Linked DNA regions of Astyanax mexicanus. The protein of the gene in region 2 interacts with the protein of the main gene of each other region in a pairwise test. Links are inferred from orthologs where the notes say so. Each region holds a gene or a part of one and is shown on either strand. Other genes may lie near its edges.

Region 1 (7,859 bases), on a different chromosome or scaffold from region 2:
AATCATAATCCTATTAAGATGCATGGACTTGTCAGCTACCTGAACAGTTGTTTTATTCCGGAGAAAAAGAGAGACGTGGTGCTGAGGAGACGAAAGTCTAAAGTTACGTGTGGAAGAATGTGAATTAGTGTAAGACTATGGTTTGTGGAGGTTAAGGCCAGTCTGCGGAATTTTACAGCTCTTAAAGACAGTGTCTATAATTGAGAAAATGAATCCACGGCGAGGAGAGCGGAATCAATAAAGTATGATTAACAGAGGAATGAGGACAATACATTTGAAAGGGCCTTGCAATATGCCAATTCGAAGGTCTGCGCAGTACAACGCTGCTTTCCTGTGGTTTTGTGGATCCATTCTTTCACGGTCTTTCCTGACAGAATGCCGGAAATAGATTATTTAATGGCGGCTGTTTTTGGAGTAAGGGAGAACAGGGACCAAAACAAAATGCATGCAGTTAGACGGAATTGAGTAGAAGAGGATTCTGCTTGTGTTATTGTTTTCCATTGCAACCAATTTCTGTACAATATGACAGCAGTCGATCATATATTTCTCAGGATTCTTTCTGGAATACATTGTTCATAACCAGAAGGCCTGCCACTGACTGTGGATAATTTTTGCTGACAATGATACTGTCCAGCGTGATTCCTAGAATGTTTATTTCATCATTATTTTTTTGCCAGTCATACATTGATCAATGCATCAACTACAGCATCTTCATAGCTGTACTCACAGATCAACCTTCATAAGGTAAAGACGTGTTACTTGAAATATTTAAAAAATATGCTGCAAAGTTTTCACAGAAAGTACAAATTGCCCAAAAGTTCTAACTCTCCTAAATATTATAAATTATTAAAAGTTCCTTGCTCTTTAAAGGAGTGTAATTATAGTTATATAATGGCCAAAAAAATGTCTAAAAATGACAGTAATGTCATTTAGCATAGTTATTTCCTGGACAATATATAAAACATAATAAAGATTGTTATGGGGCCAGACATAATCACCAGTTTCTTTTGGTAACAGTAACTTTTGTTGAAGAAACATGATTAACCTGACCAGGCTAAACCAGCAAGACCAACATGATCAGCAACACTATGCTAGTCAAGAGCTGGTTAACCATCTTGCTTTACAGGATAGAGGGTATGTTTTAATTTTTTAAAGCTTGTGGAAATGAGGCTTAGCTGAAATAAATGTGTTGTGTATAGTTTTTAAATCTCCTCTGCTTAAAAAAACATCAACATAGAATTACAACTAATTAATTGGGTTCGCATCTACTTTTTTCAACTGACTGTTTCAGCTAGCCACTCTGTCAGTCACAATTAACCTTGCCTTTAGGCTATGTTACCCTGTTGTGCTGAATTTTCCACAAATAGATTGTGCCGGGAACAAAATCTAATTTTAATTTGTGGAAGAGATATGTAGATTTTGTTAGGATAAACCATTTTTAAATATCCAGAATGTGGCGTTTAGCTGTGTCCTGCTTTCCCTTAAATCAGAAGCCAGTCAACAGACTATGTGCAGGGGCAATTCTGCACTGGACTGCGGTAGATCAATTGGATATCATTTTATAAACCACTGTTACTTTGAAAACATCTGATAAATACTGATGGTTACTGGTGCGTGCAGTGTCCCCGCATGAGTGAAAGACCAATTTTTGGTACATGGCGTCTAATCACCGCGTTCCAGTGGACCGAGGCTCTATGAACATTCTCACAAGGCAGTCGCTGAATGTGACACTGGGTGTACAGATGTTTGCCAACAGCACAGTAATCCATTCAGTCATTAATTAGGCAAGCAGGCCTTCTTCTTCTTCCTCCTCCTCCTCCTTCTGTCTTTCCCCACTTCCCTGCCCCTCTCTCTCTCTCTTTTGGTGCATGTGTTTAAGTGTATGTGTGTGAATGTGTGTGCTTGTGTTTGTTTGTGCATGTTTTCCCTCTATAGACTGCCTGTCACAAATGCCTAATCCATCTTGGCAAACCGAGGCATACAGAAACGCCATTGATTAGTATTCACGGACACGACAAATTGAGCTGACTTTGTGCCCTGCCATAAATATGGAACAAGTGTCTTCCTTAAGACAGATTTCACCTTGCTTCATTTGTTAGCTTACCTTTCCCACACAAGCGCCATTAGTCTTAAACCACTTTACAACTCGCACATTTTTGGTACCACAAACAAGAATAAACAGCTCCAGAAATGAAGCACAATGCCATAATTCATCTTGTATTTATGTATCTAGGTTATGTATGTAGGTACATGTATGATTATTTCTTTATGCTCAGCCCAAGGCAATTCAGCACAAGTCCAACATGATGGTCCAGTAAGGAGAATTTCTGTTAGGGATCTAAGGACTTGACATTGACATTGGAGGCCGTGAGTGACCACTCTTCAAAATCTGTAAAGGTAAACCAATGATTTAGTATTCAACTACAGGTTTTAACCATCTCCTTATTTTAAAAGAATTTTTTTAATGTTTAGTGCCTGAAGCACTTCTGAAAAATCCAGTTCAATATCAGCTTTTGCTGTTAGCTAGTTTTGGAAGGTCTAAAGCAATTTTTTTGTATTTGATGGCTAAGGTGGTTGGAAGCTGTTCATCCAGCTAGACAAAAACATGCTGTTAGTCTAGCTGGTTCACCAGCTTTTGACCAGCATGGTGAATTTGGCATGCTGCATTGATTTTGCTTGTGTGTGATGCTGGTTGACAAAATTGGTCATAATGGTCATGCTGGTCAACCAGCGCAGCCATATTAGTCAACCAGCATGGCCATGTTAATCAACCAGCTTGATCTAGCTGGTCAACCAGCACACTCAAGTTTGGTCATACTGGTTGCCTTGCTTGATCACTGATTATGCTTGAACATCAGCTAAAACATCAAACTACAACCCTATGCTGGTCAAGGCCATTTTTTTCTAACAATTGGTTCTGCATAGTCTAAGCTGCTCTTTGATGGTCAAGATGCTCATCCAGTTGAAAACATACCCTGTACCGGTATTATAAAGTGTTACCAACTATCTGGTTAATTGGCTATTGAGTAGCATAGTGTATGTTGCTTTTGATTTAGGCCAGTGTAGTCATCCAGCTGGGTCTTGTTGATCATGCTGATTGATCAGCTTGTATAGTTAATTTTGTTTGTAGACCAGCTAAACAAATAAACTCACACCCTATGCTGGTCAAGATCAGTTTTTGCTGGCAGCTGGATTTGGATTGTCTGAGCTAGGCTTCAATTTCTTAAGATGTTTGAAAAGCTGGTCATTCAAGTGAAAGCATACCTTGCACTACGCTTGACCAACTTACTAGTGTTGCATTTGATTTTGGTTATTTTGGACATTGCTGATCGACCAGAGTGGTCATGCTGTTTGTCTATCCTGTCTGTATCCGTCTTAACCATCTTAAATGAATGAATAAAGTTACGCTTATATATCGCCTTTCTAGACACCCAAGGACGCTTTACAATCATGTTCCACATGCAATCATTTTACACTTAGCACTCAAACACACACAAGCACTTATCCACACACATCCCTAGATGAGTTATAGCATCAACAGCAAACGTAAGTTCCAGCAATAAATCGACCAGTGTAAACATCTTTCTCATCAATACAATATCTTTTTACTAAGGAAAATGACCAAAAATAATACACAGTGACGTGAATGAGTAACTTTAATTGGAAATAGTTACGTGTTGGATTACTTGTTACTGAAAAAAAAATGGTTTAAGAGATACAGACATCACTGATACTTTTTTAAAATCCAATTTTCTTCCCAATGTACAAGGCCAATTACCCAACCCACTCATTAGGACTCCCCCATTTCACTGGTAATGAAGACTAGCACATGCCTCCACCGATACATGTGAAGTCAGGCTCCACCTGTTTTTAAACTGCTGCTGATGCAGCATTGTTGAGTAGCATCACAGCAAGCTTGGTTCTAATACATCAACTCACAGACGCCTTGTGCTAAGCGACATCACCCTTTGGAGTGATGTGGGGAGAGAGCGCCATCTACCCACACAGAGAGAGCAAGACCAATTGTGATTTCTCGGGGCTCTGGCAGCTGATGGCGAGCTACATAAACGGGATTCTAACCAGCGATCTCCTGAACGCTGTGGCAGCGCCTAAAGCCCAAATTATACTTCTGCATCAATCCTACGCCTTAGCCTACGCATCGCTGCGTACCCTACGCCGTAGCTTTACACGCACATATTCCCACCTTCGCGGTTTAAACTGCAGAGCGATGCAGAGCTGTTGATACGCACACACAGAAGTATAAATGTGTCCCCTGGATATGCGCAGGCTACAGCATAGGTTCGACGCAGAAGTATAAATTGGGCTTTAGTCCGCTGAACCACTCTGAGCCCCATGACATCACAGTCTAACTTGTGTAAAAAAGAGATATAATATGTCCCCTTTAAGACAACAAATCTTACATTACGGTAGTATTAGTATTTATCCACAGAATACCGTGATTAACCGCAGTATACCTTATTATATCGTTACATACCGTTAGCGTTGATGCTGTTTGACGCTTTCCAGAATTCGCTTCTCCGACCCAGCCAATCAGCAGTGAGGGGGGCGGGGCCAGCGCGCTTATTCCGTGGCTATAGGCGGGGAGCTTTCGCACGAGAGCCCTGCGTTTAAACCGAGCGCGAGGAGGATATGAGTGTTTATTTTTTGGTTTGAATAACGCTGCCGTTATTAAAACAGCCGTTAGCTAACGGAGGAAAGCAGCCGGTGTTGTACCGATATCCGCTCCGTCAGTTCTCCTCAGGGTTCAGGCGAAGTCAGACCACAGTCCCGTCCGCCTCTCCGCACTTTCTTCCCCTGTGTCTCACCTGCTCTCGCCGCGGTCAGGAGAGGAGCGGTGGCCGGTTATGGATCAGGACAAGTACTTGCCGGAGCTGATGGCCGAGAAGGAAACGCTGGACACGACCTTTGTTCACGCTATGCGCCTTCTGGCTGAAGGTAACAGGATTATTTTACCCTCTTTATCCGGTTATTTATCCCTTTTCTGTCCGGTATTTGTGTACAGTGTCCCCGGGTAAGTCTCTATAATCACCATATGTGTGTATTATTTGTGTATGAAATGCTGGTGGTGTTTATAAACGTTTGTTTGTTTGTTTGTTCATGGTCCTGCGGTTGGGAGCCCTGGGTGAGGAATGGAGGGAAGGATAGAGAAATGGATGGAGGGATGGAATGAGAGAGGAATAGAGGGATGGAGGGAGATGTAGAGGCGTGCCTGAGTGCAGCAGCTTTTCCCCGCCATGCTGTTAGGGGGTCAACAAGCTCCTCCTCAGGTGTGTTGGGTTTGGAGCTCTGAAGTAGATTAGGGGACTCACAGGTCTGAACAGAAGCAGACAGGGCTCTGACTCGTTAACTGCTCTGTGTGTGTGTGTGTGTGTGTGTGTGTGGTTTCATCATTACTTGGCTAAACTTCAGGTGTTCAGGTGTGTTCATGCAAAAAAAAAAAAGTGATAACTAACTAACTACATGACTACCTAAAAGGAAGTAAAACATATGCATATGTATATAACTTACAGCTCTGGAAAAATTTAAGAGACCACTTTAGTTTCTGAATCAGTTTATCTGATTTTGCTATTTATAGGTATATGTTTGTGTAAAATCAACATTGTTCTTTTACTCTATAGACTATGAACATTGTTTGTCCCAAATTCGAAATAAAATATTGTCATTTGGAGCATTTATTCATTTGCTGAAAAATAACAAAATCACTGTTTTCATGCATCTTGACATGTTCTCCTCCACCAGCCTTACACGCTGCTTTTGGATAACTTTATGCCACTCCTGGTGCAAAAAATCACGCAGGGGCTTGGTTTGATGGCTGTGATCATCCATCCTCTTGATTATATTTCAGAGGTTTTCAATTTGATAAAATCAAAGAAAGATATGTTTTGTGAGGGTTTGAGGTTAAGAGGTTGAGTTGCGTGATATTGGAAGAAATAAAATGACATTGCAGTAGATGTTTCTATATGTGTTATTGATATGATTAAAGGAAAACATTGTTTTTTGTTAATGTTTTACAAACAGAAAAGTCAGGAATCCGATATGGTCAGTAATAACCTTTTTAAGTTCATTTTTCTGACAGTTTGTGGCTAAATTCAAAAACAGGAAAGTTAGTGTAAAACATTATATTTAACTTTCCCCTTTCCAAAATCACTGAAATACTGAAAGTGAGGGGTAAATTAAATTAAATTAATGAAATTATATTGGACAGATAAATATGTGTATTTTTTGTAAATCTCAGTATATATATCTTAGAGAAACTGCAATGACTGTTTTTTTTAATTATGCAGCCCTACCCAAGATGGTTCTTAGGGAGATGCAAGTAAAGAACCATTTTTTGTCTTTCATGGTTCTTTATACACATCTCTTATAAAAACAGCTCTTAATGAAACCAAAAATAGTTTTGTTCTATACCATCGCTCAAATAACCCTTTGTATCACCTTCATCTTTAGTTTTAGGCTCAAATTAAAAGTAACACTGTCATTACCATGTAACATTATCACTCACTGAAGTGTGATCAGATGTAGACTGCTCTCAGACCAGTTCCATAAGCAGAGTCTGATCCTGTGGCTTCAGTAGCTCCTGTGTGTTGGATTATGCTTGTGTGTGTGTGTGTGTTTTAATGCTTCTGTGTTTCAGAGCCTGGGGTGAGGGATGGATTGAGGGATGGAGGGATAGAGGGATGGAATGAGGGATGGGGGTATGGAGGGAGATGTAGCGTGCCTGAGTGCAGCAGCTTTACCCTTTCATGCTGTTAGGGGGTCAACAAGCTCCTCCTCAGGTATGTTGGGCTTGGAGCTCTGAAGTAGATTAGGTCTATACAGACACAGATGCAAAGGTCTCAAACTTACTGGTGTCTGTGTGTGTTTTTAACTAAATAAGAAAACAAAGTAAATGATGGATAAAGAAATGCTCGCATTTTAATGACACCTCAGAAGACGTTTTAAGAGGGTGTGGGGCTTTCTGACTTAAAAACTCCATTTGTTTGGACAATAGAGGGAATATCAAATTCAACTCGACCAAACCAACAGTAAAATGATCCTACTGGCTATCTTTGTGTTCGGAAAGTATTAGTGTAAATATGAGAAACTCATTAGTGCAGGAAAAAATGACAGCGTATGGAAGATTTATATGCAATATACACTCTTAAAATAAAGGTGCTTTATGTAGTTCTTTGAGAAATTCCACTTTTTTATGTCTGAAGATATGAACTCATAAGTTTTGCTCACTTTAGTAATGTCCATTGTTCGGTTTGATTTACTGGGTTTTTGCCATCAGCATCCGGAGTCTAACAGAGCCCAATGGGCCTTGCTCTCTCTGGGTAAGTAGATGGCGCTCTCTCCCCTCATCACTCCAAACAGACCTATTAATGCAAATACAAAAGAGGTGTGTCTGGGTTCACATGTGTTGGAGGAGGCATTTCCTAGCCTTCTTCGTGCTACCATTGTTGATGGTATTCTATTACTACTAACAGGGGGAGCCTTAATGAGTGGGTGGGTAATTGGTCTTCCAAATTGGGGAGAAATCAGATAAAATTAGAAATACATATAGAAAAAAATTTAGCTGTATAATTATGTTACTGTAAAATATGCTTGTTTTCAATTTTTTTTCATAAACAGCCCAGTCTTTAAAGAACCTTTACAACCTCATTTTTTAAAATCTGTTAAAATGCTTCTTTATGGCACCAAATATTTTTTTATGGCAATCCTCCAAGAAAGTAGTACTTTGTAGTACCTTTACTTTCAGTGTAAGGTCAATGTAAATCATTATAACTTTGCTAGTATGAGTAATATGAGTAATTAACATGTGATATAAACATCTCTTGAAAAACTAGATCACTTAA
Region 2 (7,419 bases):
TCCTGCTGGGGAAACCGCTTTACCTCTACTGGCTTCATCACGGCAGCAAAAGCCTGGGAGTCCACAGGGTGTGTGTACGTGCGTGTTGACTACTGTGGGATGCTGCATGTAGAGACTGCATGAGTGTGTTCCAGTTCAGGGACAGGATTCTTTAAAGGATGTGGTGGATGGTGGCGCAGCTTTCGAAGGCTGTGTAGGCCATACAGGTCTACTCTACTCTATATGATTTTATCTGCTGTTTTCCTCGTCCAGTGCTCACTAATTGTGGTAAAAAACAATAATTCTACCCATTGGGTTGTACTGACTCCACCATACAGGCAGTCAGCTGTGTGTATGTGTTTTTTGTGCACCACCAATATAACATATTGTTTACTGCAGAATGAGGTAGGCATGATAAAAGCTTTTGTTTTTTTGTTTTTTTTAAGATAAAAGTGAATAATTCCACATGTTTGCACTACAGCCACAAAACATTTTTTCATTTATTTGTAATATTAAACATATTGATGTAAGATATTAGCTATGTAGGATAAAAGCTAATCTTGACCCATTGTTTTGATCTAATTTGCAAATAGTACCCTTGCTAGCTTTGTTTTTTTGTTTTTTTTCACAGTGTCTTATTTTTTTCTGTACAGGGCTATGAGCGAGTTCGCCGTTTAAGTGAGGACGATCTGTCCCCGTCTATCGTCCACGATGAAGAGGAAGGGCTGGATGATCACCCGGGTCGAGACTGCAGCCCAAAAGAGGTCCGATTCAAACTATCAAACTACAAACACTACCTGAACCTGATACACAGATATCTTTATTAAGAATTACTTAAATTACTATGTGGTTTCTCACACTCGTGTCCAAATATTTGTGGACAGCCCTCTAATGAATGCAGTTAGCTAATTTACAGCTAAGTTGCACCCATTGCAAACATCTAGTAAAACACCTTCTCCTGGACAGTTCAGACAGTTACTTTAACAAAAGCAGGATAAACTCTTTTTTCATTCCCTTAATTTTAAAATAAACCATGAAAAAGCTGGTGTCCCATGTTGTGTATTTGTTATGTGAGTTAATTTGTGTACTTTTGTTTGCAGTTTGATTTTGGGGATGTTTTCCTACATCAGGCCATTCACACTATAGAGTTCTGCCTGGGCTGCATCTCCAACACGGCATCGTACCTTCGCCTGTGGGCCCTCAGCCTGGCTCATGCTCGTTAGTACACACACACACACACACACATACACACTCATTGAGCATATTGAGCTACAAGTTTGCATTCCCTCTGTCTTGTCATAATCACTGTGTGTGAACTGGTCAAAGATGTGATCCGAGAGCTCGTCCACAATATCTAATATCTAGCAGGTTTAATATCTGGACTAGCCAGTGACTCCAGTAGTGTGAAAAGTGCTTTGACTGGACATTAATGCAGCGACTAGCTACAGCCAATGAGAATGCAGAATGAGAGTAATAAAAAAGGCAAGGTTGAGGTTGAGGTTGTCTATTGCCAAGAAAGCAATACGCCAGAAATTTACCTGAACTTTCCTTAATTTCCACACCACCACGCCCATCAGTGTAGATATATTCAAAAGCACTGTTGCTATTTAAACGAGGAAGGTGGAAGGCGTGAAAATAGACTGTTGGTAGGGTGTAAGATAGCAATAAGCACTGCAACGGTATCGCCTATAGACTTCTTATCTGTCTTTCTCTTGTGTATTACTACAATTCACATACTGTATTTGAATGCTTTTGTTATATAAAAATAAAATAAATGTTTTGTTTGTGTGTGCGTGTGCATGTGTATAACAGAGCTGTCGGAGGTGCTGTGGGCGATGGTCCTGCGTGTTGCTCTGAGGATTAACTCCAGGTTGGGGGTGCTGGTTCTCGCCCCTGTTTTCAGTCTCTTCGCCATCCTCACCGTCTCCATCCTGCTGATCATGGAGGGGCTCTCTGCCTTCCTGCACGCCCTGCGCCTACACTGGTCAGCACACACACTCAATATTACACTCACATGCCACAGACACTTCCAGCTAGATGCTGTTAGTCACCATAATTTTTACTCACTAAATTAAAGTGGGTGGGAGTATTAGCCTTCCTATGGTGTATGCTGCAGTTTTAGGGATTTTTTCTCTTATTTACTGTATAATCATTCTTTATTTCTCTCTGTCTCCAGGGTGGAGTTTCAGAACAAGTTCTACAGTGGAACAGGTGTAAAATTCGCCCCCTTCGACTTCTCCCTGCTTCCCTCCGTCTTCGAGCAGGATGGATTACTGTGAGCAGCGAGGAAATTCTGAGACCTGAGCTAATCCACCCTGGCTTACCATGACTTACACTCCTCCTGTTTCCTCACCGCAGCTCTGCAGCACTAACCACAGCAACCGGACGTTTCATCGCCTTTCCTTTTATACCATTTCAACATTCCAGCCCATCCCCCACTTTTTTATTAAAGCAGGATCAATCGAGACTGACTGCCTTAGATAAACACATTCATATCAGCGATATCTGCCACTGACTATCATCACCGGCTCCACCAAACTCAACATCACTCAACATCTGCCATATAACATCTTTAAATAAGTTTGTCAGTGCAGCCCTGCTGTTATATTTATATTTTATTAGAGATACGACCTCGACTTGGGAAACCCTCTTATTTATTCACAGACATTTCCATTTTCATATCGGATTTCAAAAGTGCCATAAGTATTTTTCCAGATACAGTTTTGTATGCTACTCTGAAATGGGAATATTGAATTTATTGAGCCGTCTCTATCCCGTGGATCTGAAGCACGCACACGCACACATTATGAAGTAAAAAAAAATACTTGTGATGTTTCAGGTAAACTTCGCAAGTAAAAGAAAAAAATAGCCATCATTTTCATACTAGATAGAATTTTCATTGAAATTTTCATTGAGTACAGTATTAAAGCATCATTTGCAAAAAGAGAGATTTCTGGTGGCTTGTCGTCTTTCTTATTTGTAGCTTTAAGTTCTGTAAGTTGTGTAAGAGGTGGGCAGAGCCTACATGAGCATCAATGATAAACCTGGGTGCTTATCGGTACATTAGGGACATTTTCAGTACATTAGGTGCTGAACACTTCATTCTGGAACACCAAACAAGACTTGCCTGATGTTCTAGAGATGTTCTGACTCAGACATTAATACAGGTTATTCTACGATAATTGTATATATCATTTGAGAGTGTTCAAAACCAACATATTTATTCAACAAAACTTGATTTAAATAATTTATCTGCTTTTCATTTGGATCTAAACTTCTAAACTGTAGCATGTATGATTGGACGCACCTTTGAATATGTTCTGCATTGTAGTTTAACATTTTCTCAGACAGCTTTATAAAGTATAGTCACCTAGAATGGCTTTAAGTTAACAGCTGTGCTGAACTCATCAAGAATTAATTGCCCTCTTAATGTGTTTGAGAAGAATTGTAGTTGGTATACAGTGATTTTGTTTCAACTATTGGGGTTATGTAAAGTAAGTAAAGCAAAAAATACTTAACTTTTTCAGAAATGAAGGTTAGTCAATCTGAAAAATTTCAAGAACTTTGAAAATATCCTTACGTGCAGTCACAAAAACCATTTAAAAAATATGATGAAACTGGCACTTATCAGGACCAGTACCCAGATAAGAGCCCAGCTAAATGTTTCACTTTTAGGTTCACTACATGACTCCTTATGCTTCGCTTCATAGTCTAGATTAATTCAGTATTCATTTACAATGTATGAAAAATAAATAAATAAAAACATATACAACCTTACTGTATAACAACAACATCAACTCTAAGAACTGGTCCATTTTTTACATAATATACAATATACAGTCCAAACTGTCACAGTCTGAGCTTAAATACTTATCTTAAACCTTGTTCAGAACTCTAAGTATAAATGCTGACACTTAATTTGGGTTATAGTAGAGCGTAGCGCGATTTTAAACCATTTGTAAAACTTTTAAAAATGATTTTATATAAATCGCAGCTGAATGGATGCGCCTTTGGTGCGAAGGTATCGTGCGCATGCGCAGTTCTCGCCTGTGGACTCCGGGTGAAGAAAATAGAACACGAAATGGCGTCCGCTGCAGGTAACGGTTACAATAATGCAAGAAAAACGATTATTTATAATGAAACGTAGACTATTATCATCAGATATTGGTTGAAGAATATATAAGCATATTGTATGTGATGTTTGTATCTGTATAATGTTGTTAAATCGATTATAATTAGGCTTATTTGGCTGGTTTATGAACGTGAGCATTCTACCGTTAGCTGGCTATTCAGCTATTTGAGCTAAGCGTTACCGGTAGATTGAGCTTTTTAACGCTTACATAGACATTGTCGGTCAGTATAGCTTATTTAGCTAGCTGTATTCGTGGGTGTAAAACGTTGTTTAGACATTGTGCAGTAAGCTATTTTATGTTCGCTAGCTTGTAAATTCAGTTAAACGTGATTAGAATGACTGGCTAACCTAGTTAGCTAACTAGCTAGCTCTCTAGCCCATTATTCTAAGGCGGTGGGCGTAACTAGTTAGCTAGCATTTTTGCATTTCTGACTCAAAAAAGAGAATTTAAACGCTTAAAAATCGCATTGAAATATTTTTTAGCTTGTCCTTATTATATAATATCGAAATGATCTGTGGAAAATTAGATAAATAGGTTATCTAGGTTTTTAACTAGTTATTTTTTACCACAAAACATCAGTAGGGTATAGAAGCCCATTCCCGCCGGCTAAAATAAAAAAATAAAATAAAATCCAGCACATTTTTTTGTGATATAAACAGCTTCCTTATTATTTTGAGATACTTGTTCATTATTTTGAGATACTGTTTCGTTATTTTGAGGTACTAGTATAACTTACTGTACAGAGACATAAACAGGTAAGATAAATACTAAAAAGAATGATAGAGCAGTATTACTCAATAATAGTAAGAAAATAAAATATTTTTTGTAAAAAAAAAAACACAGCACAATATCAAGCTATTGCTTCATTTTTATTTATTTTCATTTAAAAAACATTATTTATTTAAAACATTAAATAAATGTTTTTATGAATATTAAGCACCCGCCTTTTAACTGTACACGCAGCTTTTATATTAAACACATTGTCTAATCATAACCTACTTGCAAGTTTGTATTTAAGGTAAAGTTTAAAATGATGAAAATCACTGCCACATAAAAGCGCAAATGTCCATCTACTAAGATTCCCTCTGTAGCTTATATATGTAAAGATGTACAATCAGAATTACCCCCATTTTGAAAATCACATTATAACAGTAATTAATTACTGTAAACCAACAGTAAGGCATTTTGATCATCAGCCTGTTTTGAATTAACTTGCTAGTTTCTTTTTTTATTCGTTTAGTTCTGTCTTGTATATGTTTGGCTAGTAAGGATACAACATTCAGGATTAAAGAACCTTTAACTAAAGTGCCCCTTCTGAACTGAAGAAACAGATTATTTAGTTGGGAGAACTATTTGTTAAAGGAAGGGATTAGCTCATTTGTTGGAGGACTAAACTTCACAGTATTGGAACAAATTAACCTTGGTGTACTGTTTCTGTGATATGTAAAAAATTAGAGTAATGTGTATAACTTGTAGCATTAACTGTATTTAATTTTATTTTAATTATTTATCAAATTGTTTTTTTTATTGATTGACACATTAGGATACAATTGTGTATTCTCTTAAGTAAGGCTGAAATAATGCAGAATCTTTTTGCCTTAGGTGGGCACAATTAATATGAATTTTAACAGTATTTTTTTAATAAGTAGTTTAAATTCTGTCTATAAAATAAGCGCATCATGTCAAAAGTGGCTCTGCTTCTTCAGCTGATGAGGGAGTTCTTCTAGGAACTAGGTAATTATGAATTTCTCATGTGTATTCTCAGGAGTGTTATAACACCTCTGGTGTATGCAATAATTGTTTTGGGATGCACAATAATTAATAATAGCCATAAAAAACAGTCAGAAGGGCTGGTAGGTTTTCGTTTTATTTCTTCTAGGTTGTATGTATGGTATAAACATAATTTTTTACACTGACTGTGTTTTTTATTACCACAGATTATAACAGTTACGGGCAGGCCGGAGGCCAGCAAGGGTAAGAATACTGCTTTTAAGTATAGAAAATATTAATTAATTAATATAAATTAATATTTATATATAATTGTTTCTGAATATATATATATAATGGTTATTTTGCTTGTTAATGTTAGTGTATTTTTTTTTCCAGGTACAGCTCCTATGCTGCCCAGCCCTCTCAGGCCTACGGACAGGGTGCCCAGGTAACACACTCAGATAATTTATTCCTATTTTAAAGGATCAGTCAGTATGGCTACATGAGTCCACTTTCCAAACACCTGATTAAGTTTCCTGCACTAGCCACACAGTGGCAAGTGACAACAAGTCTTACTCTGTAAAGATGTACGTTTCAGTGTCCAAAATGTCTCTGTCTACTACACTATTGGAGGTGTTAAATTACTCAGCTTTGGTTAGCAACCTTACTGAAGCTCAGTGATTACCTGTTCAACAGAAAAATAGCCAGCTCACCCGTTTCCATGGCTGTAGCACACTGTTTGCATGCTGATGTGTTCTATACCTGGTAACCCTGAGTGTGGAAATGGTACTAGGGGAATGGATGCACTACATATTTGAACACAGTTCACAGTTCAAATATTGCAGCTGAATCTTATGCTCTGCTGGGAAGAGGTGTCCGTGCTTAAACTCATGTTTCCTTAATATCTGATGATGCATCCTGATCATGTAATAAAGAACTACAGAAAATTTAATCCGTAATGGGCCTTTAAAGCCTCTGGTTATAAGCAAGTTAGTGTTAAATACTCCTGACATTAAAAACAGTAAAAGAATGTATTTTAAATCTATTTTTTCCCCAAAAAACACACAGAAAATTATGTTATATAAAAAAGTATATAACTGTGTCGGCTGAGTTTTGTATCTTTAAAAAAAAATGTCCTAAATGTTCTATGTTCTTAATATTAATGTGCACTGAGTTTTATCTAGAGTCTTGGGAATGTGAATAAGCTTATGATGCGCTTCTGTTTCTCCAGCAATCATACGGACAGCAGCAGGGCTATGGCTCATACACCCAACCTGCTGATTCAGCCTACCCTCAAACTGGCAGCTCATCTGGGAGTTACGGTCAGCAGGCTTATGGGTCGTCATATGGGCAGCAGCCACCAGCCAGCAGTAAGTCATTCATCATGGATTTAAACTGTTATACAGATTTGACGCTCCAGTGTTAAAAAGCAAGTTTTTAATTAAGTTGATGTCCTGTACTGATCTAAAGTTGTAATTAGTTGTAATGTAGAATCTAATGGTAACATTTAAAAAAATATTTTTCATACTAATGAGTAATTTAGGAATTTGTTAAAGTACATATTCTTTGTGTTAGACTAGATTCTGTACTGGCATTT
Region 3 (8,041 bases), on a different chromosome or scaffold from region 2:
CTGCAAAGTGTGGAAGATAATTTTCAGGATGTAACTTTCTAGCTAGCTTGTTTGCCTATTCCACACCAAGCAGGGCATTCAAATATCATATCAAGCACGTCCAAAGCAGTGTAGGTAGAACTCTCGTGGAGCAATGACCCCTTGTTACACGCTCATCCCAAAATCAGATCAGGGTTAAACCTAAACCATTACGCTAAATTAAAACACTATGAAACTTCATAATAACGCATGGCTACTTTTGGATTATAAACAGCTTATGAAGTTGCTATGTTTGTATCCTGCCTCCAAAAGAAGCCTACGTGCCTCTGCAAACTGTGGAGGATCATTTCCAGGATGTACTCCACACTGAGCAGGGCCTTTCATGTCATATCAGACAACATATCAAGAACATCCATTGCAATGTTGGTGGAACCCACATGAAGCGACCCCCCCCCCCCCCCCTTACCTGCCCATCCCACAAGAGAGACTTGGGTTAGACAAGACCCGGTCTCCACTACAAGACTGACTGACTGACCTCTTTAGGCTTGGCTTATTTAGGCAAAGACAAATTAATAACAGATGCTACGTGTAACTGTTGGATCTCTAGAGGAATCTGGGGTTTATCGTAGAGGCCTAACTACGTTACCTACATGTCTCTGCAAACTGTGGAAGATCATTTCCAGGATGTAGCTAGCTAGTTAGCCTAATCCACAGTGAGCAGGGCCTTCAAATATCATATATCATATCAAGCACATCCAAAGCAGTGTAACCTGAGTGGACGCACACTAAATCAACGACCTCTCCTTAGCTAGGTTAACTCGTTAGCTTTCCAGATAGCTACTTTAGACTTAACTAGCTCACCTAGATAGCGCTAGCTAGTTAGCTAGCTTATCTACACATCCTACAAGGGAGACCCGCGTTGGACCAAAACCAGCTCCCTAACCTTCACCATTAGCTAACTATTTAACAGCTGTAAATTATCCTTATGCTTCGTTTTTTTTAAGCATAAACACCCTCTATATTAGCTATAGGCCTATAAACAGTCACTCTTAATAGTATAAATGGCACTTACAGTTTCTTATGTCCGATATGAAGACCGCTAATCCTCGCATTCCGTCTCCTTTCGACACAGCCGGCATCTTTGCAGGATTTTGTTGTTTCTTCTCACCTTACACGAAAAATAAACCACTTTTTGTCGACCTACGACGGTTTAGCTCACCTCGCTTTCCACAAAATACGCTCGTTTCGTAGCACAGCACCACTGAGCTACCTAACTAGCTAGAGCTATGTTAGCCGAGAAGCTAGCTAAAGCTAACGTTAACTAACCCGTACTCTGGCGCTTTTGATGGATGTTTAATGTGCTAGAGAGTTAGCCACCTAGCTAACGATAGCTGCTAACACAGTTGTGTGAAAGCTGAAATAACCAGACCTGAAAGTCAAAGTGTCTACAACCTATCTCTCTTTCTGCCTGTGTGCTTCTTTATTCAAAATATGTATCTGTCAATTCATAAGCGAGAAACCCGCTGCGCTCCGACCGCCGCCGTTTAAATTCATTCAAACCCAACAGTCCAAAATTTAACTACTGGCCCAAACGACGACAGGACTGAGTCACTTGGTGTGTAAAACCAAATTTACAGCGGGTCGTTTTCCTATAACACACTGTAGATGAGTGGATGTCCTACACAACATAAACAGCCACCGGGAGAGGGAGGAAAGCGATTAAAAAATAAAATATTTGATCTCCTTTCTGCTCGCTGTGAGTCACGGCACGGCGAGCTAGCGGACCAGCTAGCTGGCAGGCTAGCGCTATCAAACGTTAGAATACATCACCCGGAATGACCAGCGCGGTCGGAGACGGTCAAACCTAACGTTTTTTTCGGCGAACAATCTTATATTTAGCTGGAAAAACACAAATATGTAGTCTAGAATTCGGTTCGAGGTCGTCGGTTTCGTGCCTGCCGCGCCAGGTCGGTGTTCACGGACGAGGCTCGTGACAGAACGAACGAATAGCGATGTCCGACTCGGGAAAGAATCGGTTCATTTGCAAATAAATCCATTGAACCGAATCAGAGTGAATTAATCCTTACTGTGGCAGCCTATATAATGTTTACTTTAGTGTTCAAAACTAAGTTATCATTATGTTAGAAGTATATTTATACTTTTATTTAGTTTCTTGCACTCAGTGATACTCGTAGGTTCCAGAACCACGATTCTCATCAAGAAGAAGAGACGAAGATGCATGATAAATAAATAAAGACAATATTATATTGTGTTGTTGTTGTTATTCATTGCATGCATAAGGAAATTAAATACATGTTGTCTGCTCCCTGGTTTATTAATCGTGCACAGCATGCACTAGAAAAAAACACTGTGTTTTTTTCCACACAGTAAAATTGTGGTAAAAAAATGTGTGTTGTATATGATGCAATTTGTTTAAAACTATTAAAATCTACATGTAATTGCATTACTTAATTATTTTATGTTTATAACGTGTACTTTTTAAATATCTGCAACTTCTCAGTTTTTTTATTTTATTTTATTTTATTATTATTTAGATTATCTATTATTTTATTATTTATTAATACATTATTTGCAATCTTATTTTATCTATGTGTACGAATATCGTTTTATGATTCATGCAGCTGTATTTTGATTTTTGCCACAATGTAAACAAAAAAAGCAAGCTAATAATTGCGGGACCTCTCCCACCCTAAAAACGAGAATGAGTCACTGAATCGGGCAATTCGAAAGAATCGGTTCGGTAAACTGAATCAAAGTTCGTCTACACTCCAGCAGTATCAGTAGTAAAGGATTCTAGTGCTTCCTCTCGAGAAGCTCCGCCCCCCTGCTACCACAGCACACGCTGATTGGCTGGTAATAGTTTGTAATGCCGTTATGAAAACATTAATAGCTCGTTTAAATTGAATCTGGATCAGTAAAACTTGCTTTGTTTCTACATTAAATATATTTATTTTATATATGATATAATCAAATAGTCTAGCGGAAAATAAGCGTATTTGAGTTATTTGATATGGTTCAAATGAAAGGAACCATCTCTAAGAGCTCATTTACAGAAAGTTAACGGATTTTGGTATGCTGTCTGATGTCTGACACACTGGTTTACCACAGTTTTGATCATAGATTTGTCAATATTATATAAAAAAAATAGATTTTTAGCATGTTATCCTTGAACATCTGTTTTTCTGGCTCTCTGGGAACATTAACCTCAGTGTACTGCACACTGCAATAAACCATCCTGACGTACTGTGCCACCACACCGTGGACTTTATTATGGAAGATTAATGTCACTTGCTATGAAGTATCATAAATATGATCATTACGCAATACCCACTGCCCTGTGTGGAAAGTCAATTGCTCCCTTTGCTGTATACTTTACACCATCCTCAACACCAATCATTGCAACTACACTCTATCTGACATCATTGATCAGCTTTTTACTCTGCGATGGAGGGAGATAGCTGCTTATTTCAGGCCCTGTCACAGTAACTGCAATGCAGTGCTGTCATTTTACAACAATATCAAATCAATATCAATAGCACAATAAAATATTTAATGCAGTATTACAGTAGAAACACAAACAACCATTTTTAGTAACTGAGTAACTGTCTCTATTGTCCAGGGATGGCTTATTCTATTGGCAAAACTTTTCTACAGGGACTAGATAAGCTGTGTGTGTACTTTTCTCTTTTTGTTCCAGCAATGGGTGCAACTTAAAGTAATTGAATGCATTAATTAGAGAAGATGTTTACAAAAAGTGAATACGTAGTTTTGTGAGTTTTGTAAGTTAAAAAGCACTTATATACATGTCAGTGATAAACGTTATATGCTGCTACTGCCTGTGTAAAAAACGATGAATCATCTAACAATTAGGAATTTACACAAAAGGAATATTTCTTTTTAGATTTACTCAAGAGCGCCCTCTAGCGTTTTCCAAGGGTGCGTCCCAATTGCGAACTGCATAATAATAATATAGGTATGTACTATATACTGGTCCTAATAGTGTGAGTTTTGCAGGTTAGCACACAAAAATATTAATAAATAAACCCGTTTTTACTGGCAGTGAAGTCATAAGGCACTTTTTAAAAATAATTTATGTTTTTCCTTTTTTGGCAGATTTTTTAGTATACTCAACTTTTATCTATACTACACACTAAATACCCCAAAACTAGTTACTACTAGTAGGTACGCAATTGGAACACAACTCATGTCTTACTGGCCAGAATGGACACAAATATTAGGGAAAGTATTATTTGCCTTTTTTTTGTTCATTCTAATCAAAATTATACAATTTTTTTTATCAAATGATAAGCAATAATTACAACCCATGACTAGATCAAAACATTTGAAAAGAATTCATATTAATTGATTGATAGTGAAATTAAGTTTACATACAAAATAAGTTCATCTGGCATGATTATGTCAGACATAGTACTGCTGCTACTGTATGATATTGAATGTATAAACTGACTGTATCTATTATTAATATCCTTCCAAAAAACAAGGCACGTTCAAATGAGAATAAAAGCTATCGGGGGTGGGGCAACATGAAAGCTGTCCAATCACAACTCTTCAGTGGATTTAAAACCTGGACTGGTCAGGATTTACATGAAAAGCGAAAATACTGCAGGAACTGGGGCTGGAATCGCAAACAATCCCGAATCACGGCGTTGATGGCTTCACACTGAGCCAATAGCGACAGGGTTTATCAGAAAGGGCGTTACAATGGGTGGGGTCACGTTACAGCGGCCCAATTACCGATATGATGACTGGATTTAGAGCCAATGGGGACTGGATTTAGAGGAAAAGGCGTAGTTTGGGAGGTACTTCATCGCAGCAGTCCAATCAGAGAGCCGGAGTATGTGGGCGGGAGTCTAAAGGGGAGCGTTTAATGTTCCGCGCTGCAGCTGCGAGTCCAAAACTTGTCGGCGAAATGGCGGAGACGACGGACAGGATGGAGGTGAGCTGGAGCCGCGTAACAAAGACGGGCAGGGGGAGACCGCGGTTCATGTGGGAGAAATCCCAGCGCGCTTAGGGGCCGTGTTTGTTCGGTAGAGGCTGTGTGGCGGAGCCGCTGACCCGCTTATTTCGCTAATTAGCTCGTTGCGTAGTGACCTGAGCTCTCGGTAATGTGCGTATAGGAGCATCCATTTTAGCAGCACATCGCTCCCCATTCATTTCCACTAACACGTGGTTGCTAATCTGCTAACACACAGTACCGCCGTGGGGTTATGGCGTCTGTTAAACATTCCGTTTGTTTTATCTACTGCTCCGTTTGTATTTATTAATGAATCACTATTCTGTCTATAGTTATTTAGCTAGGTTAGCTGTGCTGCTAATAGAGAACGCATGGGATTGGCTAGCTGGGTATCTACCTAGGTTAGCATGTTAGCCAACTTAGCTAGTTAGCTTAGATCGGGTAGCTAACGCCGCCGCCTCGTTGTTTCTACATGTGTTAACCAAAGTGATATTAGAAGTTGGAGCTTTTTTTGGTTAGTTTTGAAGTAGTAAAGCTTATCTACTGAGATTTAGCCACTGACCATAACTAGTAACCTTTTTTAGCTATAGAAGCTAAAGGTGGCCTCTCGCGAATTCCCCGGTCCACCTTAAATGGCACCGCAGCTGCTACAGATGGAGCTAGCGGCGCCAGAATGTAACTTCTGTACTTTTTAAGGTGGAACTGAGAATTTAAATTTTAAGGACATATTTTTTATCTACATGGCCTTACCCCTTTACTGTAAAAGGTACAAAAATGATTTCTTAGGATCGTTTCCCTTTCAGAGGCTCGAGTACAGTACGGTTTATTGTAGGACCAGGCCTCATTTATTTTACATACCACGTGTGCTGGTCTGTTAGTGATAAAAGCCTTTGTCTGCCCCCCTTTTTCCTGTGAACTTCTCCAGTCCGCCACCCATTGTGGGGTGTTAAATTTAAGAATTTAAGTGTGTTTTTTTTTTTTTTTTTAAGTTTTGATTCCATTTAAAATTATTTTGGGGGCCTTAAGTGTTCTTTTATGTTCTTTTTATCTTGCGAAATTCCACAAAAACACAATTTACTTAAAACTCCAGGCTGAAACTCTTTTGGCTTTTGTTTTAAATGTAGTATTTATTTAATCCTTTGTTCTCCAGGTGTCCCAGGGAGAGAGCTCAGAGAAGCCTGCGGCTGAAGACATGACGTCCAAGGACTACTACTTTGATTCCTATGCTCACTTTGGCATCCACGAGGTTGGTACTCTTGTTGTTATACCCCTGTATTCAATACTGTACAGTATTTAATAGTTTAGACTTAATTTCCTACCTTACGACCTGTTTTCTAATGCTTTTATTTGGTGTTTACAGGAGATGCTTAAAGATGAAGTGCGAACTCTCACATACAGAAACTCCATGTTTCACAACAAGCATCTGTTCAAAGATAAGGTGGTGTTGGATGTGGGCAGTGGAACTGGCATCCTGTGTATGTTTGCAGCTAAGGCTGGTGCCAAGAAGGTTATTGGGGTAAGTAGACATTCTTGTTGTGCAAGTCAATAATGTAACATAATTAGAAGTGTGTCTAAAGGAACCTGTAAGTAACTGTGCTGTGTGGTTTGACCAAATATGTATACAAAAGTATACACAATATACAAAAGTCCCACCTCATTAACAGAAAATGTGCATGCACACCATAGTCTTTAAAGAGATACACAAACAACTTTTAACCCTGCTTCCATTACAAAACTAAACTTTAGTTTTATACACTATAAATGGACTAAAAATACTCAATTTTGAAGTATTTAAAACATTGATTTTTTTTAAAAGCTCTTGCATGAGTAAGATAAGTTTAAGTTAAAATGTTTTTATTGAAGCCATTGGAGGTGTTACAGTATTGAAATCAGCCACAGTTCCCTCCTTGCTCCAGTTAAACAAATTAAGTCCAGTGTATTAAAATGAACGTTTAAGCCATAATATATTTAAGAGCTATAGGGTTTTCCTTGTGTCCTGAGTTTTAGGGAGTTTAATGACCCCACACTCAGGACCAAATCTGGGCTCGTCTGGGGAACGAGAAGCATGTTTGTACGAGCACATTGTATTAAATTCCTCTCTGGTATACTGTATGAACCTGTATGCTGCCCAACACTAATATAACAGTTACCTTTGAGTGTCTGCATTGAAAACCAGTTTTAAACACATGTAATGTTTGAGCCTGGTTTATTGGGACACAAATCCGCTGCTTGTGTGAAATCAACTTTCACTGCTGTTTCTGTTAAAGTTACTAAATGGACAAGTTGTGTTCTAACATTTGTGTCTATTTTCTAGATTGAGTGCAGCAGCATATCTGACTACGCTGTGAAGATTGTCAAGGCCAATAAGCTAGATCATAGTAAGTGTATTTCTATTTTGGTGGTTCTGCATATGTCATATAAGAGACAGTAAAAAAATTGTTACTGATTGCTCTGTTAGTGCAGTTTACCAGGCCAGCATGTCAGTTTTAAATTAGTTCATAGTGTTCATATTTTACACAAACTACAAGGTGTGTAATTGAACCAAGGGCAGGACGTGTTTTTTTTTTTTTTTTTTTTTAAGGATTTCATTATAGATGTCTGCTTTAGATACACAAAGTTGCGGTGACTGTTTGATTCTCATGAATGTGTTCTCTGTTCAGTTGTGACCATTATCAAGGGCAAGGTGGAGGAGGTGGAGCTTCCAGTGGAGCATGTAGACATCATTATCTCTGAGTGGATGGGCTACTGTCTCTTCTACGAGTCCATGCTCAACACTGTGATCTATGCCAGAGACAAGTGGCTGGTAAGCGTTCAAAAACCCGCTTCACAATCTTTGTGTATGTGTAGGATATTTTGGGTGTATTTGTGCAGGAAGCTAAATTAAGTGTTAATATTTGTTTTCTTGCACACAGAAACCTGACGGGCTGATCTTCCCTGACAGAGCCACTCTTTACGTCACAGCTATTGAGGATAGGCAGTACAAGGATTACAAAATCCACTGTAAGTTCTTTTTTTTGTTTGTTTTTTCTCTATTCGCTATGCCAAATTAAGCCCTATCCCCTGTAA

The links. The genes of interacting proteins can lie anywhere in the genome.
Region 1: the proteins of ewsr1a (region 2) and khdrbs2 interact in a two-hybrid assay, tested with the Homo sapiens proteins (2 studies listed by BioGRID and IntAct). The two-hybrid records come from large-scale screens. The link is inferred for Astyanax mexicanus from reciprocal best matches to the Homo sapiens genes EWSR1 and KHDRBS2.
Region 3: the proteins of ewsr1a (region 2) and prmt1 interact in a two-hybrid assay, tested with the Homo sapiens proteins (2 studies listed by BioGRID and IntAct). The link is inferred for Astyanax mexicanus from reciprocal best matches to the Homo sapiens genes EWSR1 and PRMT1.

Annotation. Positions count from the first base shown.
Region 1 is NC_064414.1:43,132,397-43,140,255, forward strand, and holds the start of khdrbs2 (KH domain-containing, RNA-binding, signal transduction-associated protein 2), read left to right. Parts: upstream 1-4,619; 5' UTR 4,620-4,865; coding exon 4,866-4,956; intron 4,957-7,859. UniProt on the Homo sapiens protein: RNA-binding protein that plays a role in the regulation of alternative splicing and influences mRNA splice site selection and exon inclusion. Binds both poly(A) and poly(U) homopolymers. Phosphorylation by PTK6 inhibits its RNA-binding ability.
Region 2 is NC_064427.1:20,602,886-20,610,304, reverse strand, and holds the start of ewsr1a (EWS RNA-binding protein 1a), read left to right. Parts: upstream 1-4,012; 5' UTR 4,013-4,060; coding exon 4,061-4,076; intron 4,077-6,049; coding exon 6,050-6,086; intron 6,087-6,218; coding exon 6,219-6,270; intron 6,271-7,053; coding exon 7,054-7,192; intron 7,193-7,419. Other genes in the region: atp6v0a2a (V-type proton ATPase 116 kDa subunit a 2), read left to right, coding at 1-74, 633-743, 1,080-1,197, 1,792-1,963, 2,156-2,258. UniProt on the Homo sapiens protein: Binds to ssRNA containing the consensus sequence 5'-AGGUAA-3'. Might normally function as a transcriptional repressor. EWS-fusion-proteins (EFPS) may play a role in the tumorigenic process.
Region 3 is NC_064426.1:20,248,463-20,256,503, forward strand, and holds the start of prmt1 (protein arginine N-methyltransferase 1), read left to right. Parts: upstream 1-4,801; 5' UTR 4,802-4,888; coding exon 4,889-4,957; intron 4,958-6,125; coding exon 6,126-6,221; intron 6,222-6,335; coding exon 6,336-6,491; intron 6,492-7,289; coding exon 7,290-7,353; intron 7,354-7,635; coding exon 7,636-7,778; intron 7,779-7,887; coding exon 7,888-7,975; intron 7,976-8,041. Other genes in the region: ap2a1 (AP-2 complex subunit alpha-2), read right to left, coding at 1,052-1,118. UniProt on the Homo sapiens protein: Arginine methyltransferase that methylates (mono and asymmetric dimethylation) the guanidino nitrogens of arginyl residues present in proteins such as ESR1, histone H2, H3 and H4, FMR1, ILF3, HNRNPA1, HNRNPD, NFATC2IP, SUPT5H, TAF15, EWS, HABP4, SERBP1, RBM15, FOXO1, CHTOP, MAP3K5/ASK1, MICU1 and NPRL2.